Linked DNA regions of Arabidopsis thaliana. The protein of the gene in region 2 interacts with the protein of the main gene of each other region in a pairwise test. Each region holds a gene or a part of one and is shown on either strand. Other genes may lie near its edges.

What was found.
Region 1: the proteins of ARF13 (region 2) and ATAUX2-11 interact in a two-hybrid assay, tested with the Arabidopsis thaliana proteins (one large-scale study listed by BioGRID).

The regions. Positions count from the first base shown.
Region 1 is NC_003076.8:17,547,039-17,553,112, reverse strand, and holds ATAUX2-11 (AUX/IAA transcriptional regulator family protein), read right to left. Parts: upstream 2,935-6,074; 5' UTR 2,649-2,934; coding exon 2,470-2,648; intron 2,378-2,469; coding exon 2,075-2,377; intron 1,986-2,074; coding exon 1,907-1,985; 3' UTR 1,398-1,906; downstream 1-1,397. Other genes in the region: AT5G43710 (Glycosyl hydrolase family 47 protein), read left to right, coding at 1-46, 134-338, 574-861; AT5G43695 (uncharacterized protein), read right to left, coding at 4,562-4,743, 4,825-4,864; AT5G43690 (P-loop containing nucleoside triphosphate hydrolases superfamily protein), read right to left, coding at 5,845-6,074. UniProt on the Arabidopsis thaliana protein: Aux/IAA proteins are short-lived transcriptional factors that function as repressors of early auxin response genes at low auxin concentrations.
Region 2 is NC_003070.9:12,441,681-12,449,271, forward strand, and holds ARF13 (AUXIN RESPONSE FACTOR 13), read right to left. Parts: upstream 5,085-7,591; coding exon 5,042-5,084; intron 4,948-5,041; coding exon 4,829-4,947; intron 4,757-4,828; coding exon 4,661-4,756; intron 4,549-4,660; coding exon 4,492-4,548; intron 4,382-4,491; coding exon 4,238-4,381; intron 4,157-4,237; coding exon 4,072-4,156; intron 4,004-4,071; coding exon 3,907-4,003; intron 3,833-3,906; coding exon 3,668-3,832; intron 3,559-3,667; coding exon of another isoform or gene 3,481-3,558; coding exon 3,445-3,480; intron 3,365-3,444; coding exon 3,292-3,364; intron 3,201-3,291; coding exon 3,062-3,200; intron 2,971-3,061; coding exon 2,714-2,970; coding exon of another isoform or gene 2,585-2,713; exon of another isoform or gene 2,529-2,584; intron 2,311-2,528; coding exon 2,123-2,310; intron 2,040-2,122; coding exon 1,898-2,039; downstream 1-1,897. Other genes in the region: AT1G34160 (Tetratricopeptide repeat (TPR)-like superfamily protein), read left to right, coding at 1-1,148, 1,236-1,545; NAC016 (NAC domain containing protein 16), read left to right, coding at 7,046-7,268, 7,529-7,591. UniProt on the Arabidopsis thaliana protein: Auxin response factors (ARFs) are transcriptional factors that bind specifically to the DNA sequence 5'-TGTCTC-3' found in the auxin-responsive promoter elements (AuxREs). Could act as transcriptional activator or repressor.

The DNA.
Region 1 (6,074 bases), on a different chromosome or scaffold from region 2:
ACTTAGCTGTTGACTCGGATAACCTCGTAGACAATGGCCCTTACAAGTATAAATATCTCCTCCACATTAACCTCTTGATTTTCACAAACACCACAACAATTCACTAATCTTGATAATTTTACTTAATCTTCAGGTACATCTTCAGTACTGAGGGTCATCTCTTACCAATAACACCACAAATATCTCTAGCTCGGGAACATTGCTCTTACTTTGGTGGATACTGTCCAAGCAATTCCACAAAACTAGAACAAGAAGTCCTTGGAGAAGACAGTAGTAACGATGATCACAGTAACGATTATCCTTACCACGAATCTTTTCCAGTTACCGGTTTGATAAAGGTCAGTACCAGAAATAAAAATGTTTCTTTCTTTCTTTCGGATTCCTTACCACGAATCTTTTCCAGTTACCGGTTTGATAAAGGTCAGTACCAGAAATAAAAATGTTTCTTTCTTTCTTTCGGATTCCTTACCACGAATCTTTTCCAGTTACCGGTTTGATAAAGGCCAGTACCAGAAATAAAAATATTTCTTTCTTTCATCAAAGTCAGTTTCTTTTGTTTTGGGGTTTTTGTAGGGTTTATGTCCAGGACTAACACATGCTCAGAAATATGGTTTTTCGTATGTTCTACCGGAGAAGACAGATCGTGAAGATGTTAATCAACCTAAACCGGTAGTTACAAGCAGTTCAATTGTGTTAATCTCGGATCAAACAGTGGAGAAGAGACCACAGGAAGAAGAAGGATTTACTTCTCAGTCTGAACCAATAATGACAATCTCTGGTGGTAGTAGCAACGACCAAACAGGTCAAGAGCTAACCTTGTTAGAGTCAGAAACTGATGATCAAAGATCATACTCTTCTTAAATCTCTCATTTATATATATGTTCCACAGAAGAAGATTACAAAAACTTTTGTTAGAAATATAGATTCAGTTTTCCAATCTCATCAAGAATCTTGAATCCTTCTTTTGTTGATCGATTGTTGTCTCATCATAATCATCATCATCATCATCGAGACAACTAGGTTTAAGTATTTGGTAAAATTCTTGACTTAATAATCATCTTGCATCAAGAACATTAGGTATGAATGTAAAAATTGTTGGTGCACAAAGGAAAAACCTAAATTCAATGAACCTATCTATACCATTTTAAAATATTACTCTAGTTCCAAGGTTCATAGATTATTATAAGTGATAGTGGAGACAAATTAGCACAGTTGGGTAGATTTACTTGTTTAAGGTATGGGGGACCAAAGTCACAGTTGGTAACAACAAAAGATAATATAAACATTTCCAAAGCCCCAAAAATATTCTCACTGCTCGATTAGATTTCTTATTTCTTTAATCTTGGTGACTAAACATGTATAATCTAAGTTTAAAGAAACTAGAATCCAATGATATATGTTTAGAAGCTGGGATTATTATTTTTACCATAAAGCAGCTTTGGTTTAATGATTTGTCTTCGTTGTGTTCATCTACAAGTTAGGTTTAATGTTCTGTGTTACAGTTTTGTAAAGACAGATCTTAATTTGAAGAGAAACAGAACAGAAAAATGGGTAATTACATCAAAAACATCAAAGTTGTTCGATAAGAACATTATAAAAAGTGAAAAACACAAAGATAATCTTCAGATTAGATCTTTCTAATACCACAAAACCTTTCTCTTTAATGGAGACAGAGTTACAGCTAAAGTTTAGATTTAGATCTTTCTCACACTTTTATGCTTAAGACCATTTTAAGCATCTCTCTTTTTACCGATGAGGTAAACATTCACAAAGTATGATTGTATGAAACATCTCTCCCCAAGAACCCGAGCAGTTTCAGAGCTATATTTACTCTGTTTCAAGAAACAGAACAAAAAACTCTGTTTTTGAATCTTTCTCTTTGATCTTTATCTCTCAATTAGGTTTGTTAAAGACCACCACAACCTAAACCTTTAACTTCAGATCCTTTCATGATCCTTAGCCTCTTACAAGACGAAACAAACATCCTGCAATAACAACAAAACACCATAAATACATAAACAAGATTGTGTCATAAGTTAACTAATTTGAGAGATAAATGAAAATTTGTACTTACTCCCAAGGAACATCACCAACAAGCATCCAATCACCATCTTTGTCTTCATAAGTAGGTACAAAGTCTGAGCCTTTATATCCTTCTCTCTCAAAATATTCTCCCACAGAGAATTTAAACATGTTTTCAAGTGATTTCATCAACTCTGGATATTGTTTATACATCGTTAGATCTATCTTCCTTAGATATGGAGCACCATCCATACTTACTTTCACATAGTTTCCTTGACCTTCAGATTCACTCTTCTTTGTCTGAACATTGTTCTTTCTGTAAGATCTAACTGGTGGCCATCCAACAATCTGAGCCCTATAAAACAAGAAATAGCATAGATTAGATTAGATCAGATTCACAACTCAACACACATTTTCAGAGAAGTTGTATTTGATTCAAACACTTACTTTGGAGGAGAAGCGGTTTCAGTTTTTCCAGTGGATTCAATCTCTTTCTCAGTAGCTTCAGGTAAAACTCTTTTGTTGCTTTTTCCACAAGAAACAGTTTCTTCTGTCCCTGGTAATCCCAATCTCAGCTCTGTTGCCTTTAGGTTAACAAGCTCATCATAAACATCAACTTTTTCCATTTCTTCTTCAAAGAAAGAACCTCTTTGTTTTTGTGTGTTTTGTGTTCTTGTGGTTGTCTAGAGAGAGAGAAAGACTTGTTGATGAGATAAGAGGCTTTGTGAAGAAGATTGTTTTATAGGAATTGAAAAGTCACTTTTTTGGTAATTTAGAAAAAATGGGATTAACTTGATTTAAGGACAAAGGCAAAAGCTAAAGCTGTCGGGTAGTAAACAGTAGCAGCAACTTTGAGGCAAAGTGTGTCCCATCATTTTGGGGACATTTGTGGGACACTTTCATCTTCAACACAAAGAAAGATACTTTCTTTGATTTTAGAGGACGGTCTAGATTCATTTCTCTGTAGCCCTAATTCAAGGAAGTGGGGTAGAGTATGGTACACTCATGTGCAGAATATAAAAAACCTTTCTCTTTTGTTCAAGCATTGAGTTATTGTAGGGTAAGCATTACATGTACTGTGGTCTGCCATATGCATTTGTCACCTCTCTCTCTCTCTCTTAAAGCCAAGAACTTACTCTTTCATCTATTTGTGGTTCATGTGATATCAGGATTAGATCATCCTAGTCAATTGAGTTGAAACTCTAGCTGTCTAAAGTCAAACATATTCATAGTCTTTTTTTCTGTGTTTGGAGGATAAGATTTTGAGTTTCATTGGGTCTGATTGGTAGCTTCATGTGTGTCCAACTAGTATTTGAGTTGGGACTTTCGAGAGTATTAGTAAAGAAAAACAAATAGTATTTGAGTTAAAATTATACTATTTGTTTTTCTTTACTAGTTTTCATGAAAGTCCCAACTTAATTTGTCTCTCTGTCTCTATGAAACTTCTAATGATCTTTATATATATGAATCCAGGAACAAACTGACAAGAAATCTTGCCAAAAGGTTTTGTCTTTAGACAGTTCATTATCTATGGGGTCTTATCGTTTTGGGTTTTGATTTCTCTCTGACTTTGTTTTCATGTTACTACAGCAAGGCAGTTTATGTACTTGTCATGCTTTAGTGAACCAATGTAAACCAAACCTAACCTAATCTCTTTGGAGGACCAAATTTGAAAACCTATGTTCAAGACTATTTTTTTATCCTAAGTTTGTTTAGTCTCGATTTCAAATTTTTTTTTTCTGTAGAAAAAGTTTTGAATCGTTACACATTAAGGGGTATTATTCAGTCATGGATTTCAATAGAATCAAATCCAACACTAATCCACTGTGATTGATGATTCTAAATGGTGCTTAAATATTTGTGATTAATTTATCATTAGTATTATGTTATTTTTGGCACATGACCTCCTAATAGTCTAAATCCTTCTTCTTGAGTATGATTTATGGATTACGACATTTGGGAAGTGAACATTTAGGAGATTGTTGGTTTTATCCGAATTGGTCTCAAAAAGGAGAATTTTAAAGGTAGTGAGTTTGGTATTTATTGTTACACGGTAGACGACAAGACTTTGGGTTCGATTTGAAATGTGAAAAGTTGGTTTCATTGCATGGTTGGCGTTAGAGATTTAAGTTCATGACTAGCTTATTTAGCTAGAAATCAAATACTGAAAATGAGACGTATCTAACAACAAACCGGTTCATGGCATTCTCTCCGGTTCCGGTTCTTTTGGACTCTATGTTGGATTGATCCACCGTTGGATCCAATAAATGATATAAAACAGCTACACACATGATCATACATATACAGCTTCATAAGTTATAGTTGGTGGGCAATATATATGCTTTTATATCATCCTAGTGATTATTCTAATGGTGGCTGGTTTGATGAAAAATTAGGCATCACCTCTTCCATGTTGAATTTGTTCTTAACTATCTTTTTTGAATTTTTTTACATAATGTTCAATATTTTTTGTATGGACTATGCAACAAAGTTTTATTATTAGTGAAAACATATCTTATTCAAAAAAGAAAACGGAAAATTAACATAGACATAAACAAGGAGTAATTCTGTTGTTAGGAATACATTTCATATGACATCCATCCATGCAGTCATCATCCAGTAATTTCACTACCTGCGGCGAACCTTCATGATGCAACTGAGGAATTTCTTCAAGTAATAACCTTTTCGCCTCAACATTTCGAACAGTAACGATACTCATCACTACAAAATCAGAAACTATAAATAACAAATTTTGTATATAGATTTTTGTTATTTGCTTCACACGTGAAATATAAATTTTACCTGATGTAACAATTAGGCAGATAAGGAAAGCAAACTTCATTGGTATTTTTTTACTTTACAATATATAGCGGAAGTTGTTACACAAAACTCGGGGTACTCCCCAATACGTAGAAGTACAACTATTTCTAGATACAATAGTTATATAAAGGGATCTACTGTAAATTACTAATTATTTTGTTTTTGTTACCAGCCAAATAAATACTTATCAAATTACAAGGAAAAAGTCCAGTTATTGACTAAGTAAAATTATATGAATTTATTACAAAATTTTGTAAATATACATGAGACTAGTATAACTGATATTCTACAAAAAGTCGGTAACAAACTAACAATATAAGACCAATTCTAGAGTGCAAACTAGAAAACAAACAGTTTAAGAGTTACAAGAGATAGATCATATAGTTTTGAAATATGGAAGCAAATAACAATCATCAATCCATATTCTATATTGTAGTTTTTATTTGAATTGTGGCAAGACTTTGGGTTCGATTTGAAATGAAAAACTTTGGTTTCATTGCATAATGTTTAACCTGTATATATATAATAGGAGAGTCCTCTCTCCATTTAGGGTGTCCATCTAAGCATCCATATAAGCAACACTATTTATTTTATGTTAAAATAAATTTAAACATTCATTTAGTGCATATTTTTGTTACTTATAATCATAAAAAAATGAATAAACAAAAAACGAATTATGTAAAATAAATGAGCTGTTAAAATAATAAAGTTATACTATAACTTTTTTGTTAGTAGTAATAATCTATTATACCACACATTTTATTGTGCCTTTACGGTTAGGTGTATCGGTATTTACTCGGGCAATCATCATATCTTGAAATAGTTGTATTATGAATATACATGGAGTTGTGTCAAATTCACACTTTTGATTTTTGGGCCAATCACTATGCATTATTTTATTGAAAGACAGTCAATACTCATAAATCAAAGGAACATAAGAAACAGAAGGTAGTTTTATTATAATGCATATGTGAAAAGCTACAAACCACAAAGAACACGAATCTAGAACTTCAAGTCCGAACCTTTTAATTTCTCCTCGATGATCATGTCGATTTTGTTCTCCATTTCGGGAGTTAGATGATTCTTCCAGTCACCAACTTCTCCTTTGCGGAAATAGCTTTTGTAGTCATAGTTCATCCATGTTTTTCCGGTTTTGTTAACCTCCAAACCGCTCAGATTACCAAGAGAGCATAGTTCCAAGAGTTTGCTAATCGAACCACTATCTTCTTCTT
Region 2 (7,591 bases):
CAATCTTCGTCATCGTCGGCTATATGTAGAGTCGATGCTTTGACTTGTTCTTTTACTCTTAAAGCTTGTGCACGTGCGCTTTGTTCTTCCGCTATGGATCAACTTCATTGTCAGATTAACCGTCGGGGATTATCCGCTGATTCGCTTCTTTGTACTACGTTGCTTGATGCTTACTCTAAAAACGGAGATTTAATTAGTGCGTATAAGTTGTTCGATGAAATGCCTGTGAGAGATGTTGCGTCGTGGAACGCGTTGATCGCGGGGTTAGTGTCTGGTAATCGAGCGAGTGAGGCGATGGAGTTGTATAAGAGAATGGAAACGGAAGGAATTAGAAGAAGTGAAGTAACTGTTGTTGCTGCTTTAGGAGCTTGTTCTCATTTGGGTGATGTTAAGGAAGGTGAAAATATCTTCCATGGATACAGTAACGATAATGTGATTGTTAGTAACGCGGCTATTGATATGTATTCGAAATGCGGGTTTGTTGATAAAGCTTATCAAGTGTTTGAACAATTCACTGGTAAGAAGAGTGTTGTTACATGGAACACTATGATTACAGGGTTTGCAGTGCATGGAGAAGCACATAGAGCGTTGGAGATTTTTGACAAGTTGGAGGATAATGGTATTAAGCCTGATGATGTCTCGTACTTAGCTGCTTTAACTGCGTGTAGACATGCGGGGTTAGTGGAGTATGGTTTGTCTGTATTCAATAATATGGCTTGTAAGGGCGTTGAGCGTAACATGAAGCACTATGGTTGTGTGGTTGATCTGTTAAGCCGTGCAGGAAGGTTGAGAGAAGCTCACGATATCATATGTTCAATGTCGATGATTCCGGATCCTGTTTTGTGGCAGAGCCTTCTTGGAGCTTCGGAGATTTATAGTGATGTTGAAATGGCTGAGATTGCTTCTAGGGAAATAAAGGAAATGGGAGTTAACAATGATGGTGATTTTGTGTTGCTATCGAATGTTTATGCTGCGCAGGGACGGTGGAAAGATGTAGGACGAGTGAGAGATGATATGGAAAGCAAACAAGTGAAGAAAATTCCAGGTCTTAGCTACATAGAAGCCAAAGGAACGATTCATGAATTCTACAACAGTGACAAGAGCCATGAACAGTGGAGAGAGATTTATGAGAAGATCGATGAGATCAGGTACAGAACAAGTTCTAAGAGCTGAGATTGGTGAATTTTAATGCTTTTGATTTACTGCTTTCTTGTTATTTTGGTTGATGAGGATAGGTTCAAGATAAGAGAGGATGGTTACGTGGCGCAGACAGGACTTGTGTTGCACGACATAGGAGAGGAAGAGAAAGAGAACGCTTTGTGCTATCACAGCGAGAAATTGGCGGTGGCCTACGGACTGATGATGATGGATGGTGCGGACGAGGAGAGTCCGGTGAGAGTTATAAACAACCTGAGAATTTGTGGGGACTGTCACGTTGTTTTCAAACATATTTCTAAGATTTATAAGAGAGAGATCATTGTTAGGGATCGAGTTCGGTTTCATAGGTTCAAAGATGGTTCTTGCTCTTGCAGAGATTTTTGGTAACGTTACAAAATTAAGAGGGTGGCAATTTTAAAATGTATTTCAAAGATTTCTCTTTTTTTAAGTACACTACAATAGTTAGAGTAAGATGTATATACTCAAATCATTAGTAGTAGCAACGATAAGCAGATAATACGACGATAACAAGGACAATTTTTCATTTAGAAACGATGAAGACATAAATATTACAGACTCAAACAACATCACTGTCGACAAAAACAACATAAAAACATGGGTTCATTCTCTTACCCTTTACTACATCACGGAACAAAAAACTGTTTTTTTTTTTGCTTACGAAATTTTAAAACAAAACCCTCTCTTCCAATTTTCAGCTCTCTTATCTTTATAAGAAAGGTTAGTTATCTGTGACGTTTGGTGGTACGTCTGAAGATGTTAAAGCTTTTGATTCAGGTTGAAAGAATTTGTTCTTCAACTTCATTTTCTTTATCTCCTCTTTTGAGCATATGAATATTCTTTTCGCCATATTGCAGAACTCACTGGATGCACACAATTTTCAAAATGACATTTTCTCAATATTTTAACATGGGTTTCAATATATAGAAAGAGAAAGAAAACATACGGCCATGGATCATCCCCGACAAGCATCTCAGCTCCTTCATTGTTTGTAAAAACTATTTCCCATTGATTGCGAGTTCGTAACTCGTCTTTGAGATCAAAGAGTTCTTCCAGTTTTTGTATCAGCTGATTGTATCCATGCATAGCAGTTAAATCCACAGCTCTACTTATGGCTACACCTTGCATATGAACCTGTTAGAACATACCACATCAAAATCATGTGAAAGCTTTACGAAATTTTCTTATCAAATATATATTTGATATCTAAAAATACTAAGTTACCTAATATGTATGTTTCTTATCAAAATTTCTTAAAATATATTTTTTTCGGCGAATGCTTGCTTGAATGCACTAGTTTCACATTTTAAAAAAAAAGTCATATGTTACAGATATAATGATTTTATGCTTACTTTAATACGACTTCTAGTAAAATTGAATTCCGTGCTTTGGACCTCTTTTGGTGATCTCAGAGGTTGGGTTTGGTCAAACTTTTTATCTTGAGGCAACTAGTGGTTGCTTTTTGATTTTTGAGTTTTGAAATTTCTGATTTTTTGCATGATTCAATTGGACAGATGGAATCTTTGCTCTTTGATACTTTGGTCAGATCAACTCCAAACAAGAGGCAACTAGTGGTTGCTTCAGTTGTTATATCTTCTTTCCTTGGTTGAATCATTTGGTCGCTGTTATAGTTTTCATTAGGTATGGCTAGGAGTGAGTGATTCAGTAGCAAACCAGAAAGAAACTTTGAATCTTCAATTGCATTGGGATAACTAAACTCAGGAACACTTATAGGAGAATTCATGCTCCGTTGTCCAATTTCTTGGCATGTCCAAAGATTCGATAATGTTGCACCTATATATGAAAATATCTAGAATGAGAAAGATATTTTCATGAGGAAGCATAAACTTATCAAACCAATGATTATAAGCATGTTTCCTTTTACCAATTTCATTCAATTGAAGCCAATGTTTTTTCTTTTTCAAACTTGATTGAGAGATATCTGACGAAGGAATTAGATGCTCGATGTCCCAAGGTGAAACCTGATTAGGTCTTAGAAATGGTGAAAGCTCGTCCCATTGCACCTACAAAAACATAGTTGATTAGTCATATGTTATTTATTACACTCAAAAATGTATTTTGAAAGATGTCATGAAAGTATGAAGATTATATTACTTTTAGGCTTCGCCATTCTGAATCCTTCCAATGAGGAGACATGTCATTTACACCAATAATCGTCCCATCGTATCTTAGTAAATAAAACAAAATGTGTTATGCAAATAACAAATTTTGGAAATAGAGAAAAAAAGTTTTGATTAAATTTTTTACCTTTTTTCAGAAAAATCCTTACCCTCAAACTGCATCCTAAATCTCGAACCAACAATGTAATTATTGTTCATTGCATCAACAAATTTGTCATAGCTTATAACAAATTGACTTGAACTAATATTATATGAAAAAACAAAATGTAAACATACATTTGGTTGAAGAAGCTAATATCATGATATATTGGCAGACTGTAAAATGTAAATTAAGTACTATTCTGAATCACCTTGGCTTATAAACCACATTGAACATGCATTTGGTTTTAAAAGCATTCACTACTGAAGCTATTACTCCATGTTGCATACAATTTGCTGATATTACTGATGAAGGTATGTGGCCTTGTTGATGCTTTGCTCGCCTAATACCAAATCGTAACTCCCCATTCTCTCCTCTGAAAAAACAAGAAAATAGTTTAAATTCTAATATCCAAAAAAAGAGAAGAGATGTAAAAAGACAAAAACATACCTAAGGAGTACAAATATATCCCCAACAATCAATCTTTTTGTTGTTGCAAATACGCTCCAGCCGCCGCCGCTAGTAAACATATGTCTCTGCGGTGTACCTACATGCAAAAAGAAGATCCATAGTTACTAATTACAATATTATCGGGTGAAGAAAAATATTAAATACCTCTAAAGACATGTTTGAAACTCCATTCTTGACCATAGAGATCCTTTGCAACAAGATTTTGTGTGGATATTGGTTGGGACATATCCTAGAGAAACAAATCGAATAGAAAATGTAATACTGAAACTCAAATTCGAGTTTATTCAATAGATAAACTAAGCAGAATTACCAGCGGAGGAAAACACTCAATGGCATATTGTTTGGGAATAATTAATCCACCACTTAAACTGACGTCAGACGCCGTTAAAATTTTACTAAAAAAATAAACTATTGGTCTTCGAGTATCCATAGTAGTATTATGGGTCATAACTTCCTAAAGATTTACAATTTAAAAAAATTAGTTAAGTGAAAATTGAAGAAAATTTGAAACAATTGAGAAACATTAGAATTAATTTTGAAGTTAGCATTGTTGCGGTCACTCACTGTTGTATCAGGCATTAACGAAATCTGAGCATAGACTTCATCTGTATTTTTGTCTACCTATAATAAACATAAAGCAAGCAACAAAATTAGATCTTTCTACAGTGAAATAAAGCATGCAAAATAATAAATTGTAACTTATGTGTTAACTCTTGAACATTTAAAGACATACCTTACGATCAATAGCCACAACACGACATCGAAGCTTAGATGGAAGATCAAAAATTGGCCTGATATGATCCAATTCATCTCTTGTAGAATTCTCAATCTGAAAAGTGCCATCAAAATGTTTCAAAAACCAAATCGAGAAGCAAAACAAAAGAAATATATATAGACTCACGAGCTCGATGTGCCCTTGAGGAAAGTAATAAACTTTTTCTCCAGGTTTCGGAAGAACACACAAAGGTCCAGCACATATGTTCCATAATTTCTCATACATATAAGTCTTGGTTATATCAACTAGTAAAACGAAACAAAATATATGGTTGTTTCATATTTAATATATAAAATAAGTTCAGACAAAATATATATAAAAAAAAATCTTTACTTATGCCTGATAATTCAGGCTGTGCATTCATTTCTCCATTATTTTCCATGAGCTCTTATTGCAAAGATCGATATTCTGTGAATCATAAAGCAAGAAAATCATCAAAATCTTTTTTTTTGTTAAGAGTACACTTATTGACAGGATAAAAGATAAAAAGTAATTTTTGTAATAGAAAATTATATCTTTCCATCACAAATGAGAAGAAATTACTACAAACTATTAAACTATTTTAAAAATCGTATATGATTTGAGTGAAAAAATTTAAATTAGGGATTAAAATACCAGGCAGACTATTTTTCTCTAGATCCGGCTACCAATCACAGAGTAATTTTTTAATTTGATGTGTAGTTGATGTATACAATAAGCATGTATTTATAGAGAATTAAGACCTTATTAAGTCACCAAAAGATATACATAATAAAGCTACCATATTACACGCAAGAAATTAATGTATTTTGGGAAATTAAGAACCTACTAAAACTCCACGGTCAAAGAAGCCCAACAGTTGTTTAATGAGTTTTACAAAAAGTAATTAGGGTTATAGGTTATTATTAATTTTGACTCGATTAGATGGAAAGTGGAAACCTCGTAAATATTGATTCTATTGAATTAATATATATCTATAACTATATATATTCTATCTTTGTTCATGCTACTATCTTTTTGGCTTAATCTGATAATTTCTCTATTGTTTTAATTAGTTCTTAGTGTCCAGAATCTTTTGATTTCGACGATGTTGTTTATTTCTCTTTTTGTTTTCCATTGTTTGTAATTAAGATTAATTTTTTTTTAGCGTGTTTGCTTGGATGCTTATTACTAGTTGTCGAATAACTCCTCATTTTGGGATGAATCCTTCTCTAATGTTGTTTACCAGTGATCAGAATCCCTCACAAAAGCTCTCTGGAGAATTGAACGAGTTCTTCATGGATTTTTCGAGAATTTTCCACATGACAAGAGGTGAAAATTAAAACATCTTCTACAACTGCATAGAGAACGTTGATTCACATGTCGATTTTTCTTTTTTCTCATCCTTGATCTTATAGATTTGTGAGTCTTCATAACTAAATAAATCCATATGTTTTTGCCACATTTAGGTTTAGATGTCTTGTAATTTTTGTCCTTTTTTGTTTGTCTCCTAGTTTTTGTTTAGAATAAGAATAAAGTTCTATATGCATAGGTTGTTCATTCCATTAATCGAATAGATCGTTTGCCGATATTCGGTCCTATATAGCTATCTCGTCTTCAAAGCTTACTCTTCCCGTCTTTGGATTATTCACTCTCTTCATGGGAGCTGCAAGAATTGCACTCTATTATGGGATTTTTTAATTTTTTCGGTTGGAAAATATATTAACAATTGTAAAAAAAAAAAAAAAAATCTTATAATGAAAAATATGTTACTTTCTACAATAATATTAAGACTTTCATAACTTCTAAGCACTATTTATATACTTTCAATACCTTTATCAAATACTAACTAATATATCAAATATTATTAAGTTATTATGAATAATGTAATAGTAAATTATGTTATCTTACAAAATGTAATCAGTCACATAAAATTTATTGAAGTGAATTGATGCTACAAATTTATATTGTACAAGTTTTTACTCTACAAAATTTATTTTATTTGATTTTATACGATTATTTTATTGTAAGTTTGAAAAATAGTAGTGAGTGGTGGATTCAACATTTAGTTCCTTTGTAACAACAACAAATTAACGAATATTAAAATTTATCAGTTTGGCCCCTTTGGGCGTGTAATTCCAAAAGCCCAGTAAGATTCTCGGAAACTTCGTTAGTCAGAAAAAAGCTGACACATATAATCACAAACAAAATCATTTTTTTGACTCTATCCAAAATCTATCTACCGCCGATCAAAAAACCCTAGAATTTCTTCCACTGTTATGTAAGTTTGATCTTGTTGTCTCCACTAAGAGGCGAAGAGAGAAAGAGGGTTTTAGGTTGTGTGTTCTGTTTCAAAGGGTTTACTTCTCGTTGACCCCGATCGAGATGGTTGATTCTTCTCGTGATTCGTGTTTCAAAGCTGGTAAGTTTAGTGCTCCAGGTTTTCGATTTCACCCTACTGATGAAGAGCTTGTGGTTTATTATCTTAAGAGGAAGATCTGTTGTAAAAAACTTCGAGTCAATGCCATTGGTGTCGTTGATGTTTACAAAGTCGATCCTTCTGAATTGCCTGGTAATTTTCAACACCTTCTTATCGATTTTGATTCATGTTTTCTCTACGTATCGTGATCAATTAGTTTAGGTTATTAATGATGTAGTTGAGTATATGACAAGGAAAAGTTTTGGTTGTTGATGATTTGTTGAGTATATGACAAGGAAACGTCTTTATTCACTATTTAATTCGTATCGATCCTCATTTATGCTCATATGATTTCATTTTCACAATGTTTAGGTTTCCAATTTGTTTATTTGTTATGCAAGTATCAAATTTATGTTGGAATTGGTTTTCTAACACGGTGAATGTAACAGGTCTATCGATGTTGAAGACGGGAGATAGACAGTGGTTCTTTTTCACTCCAAGGAATAGGAAGT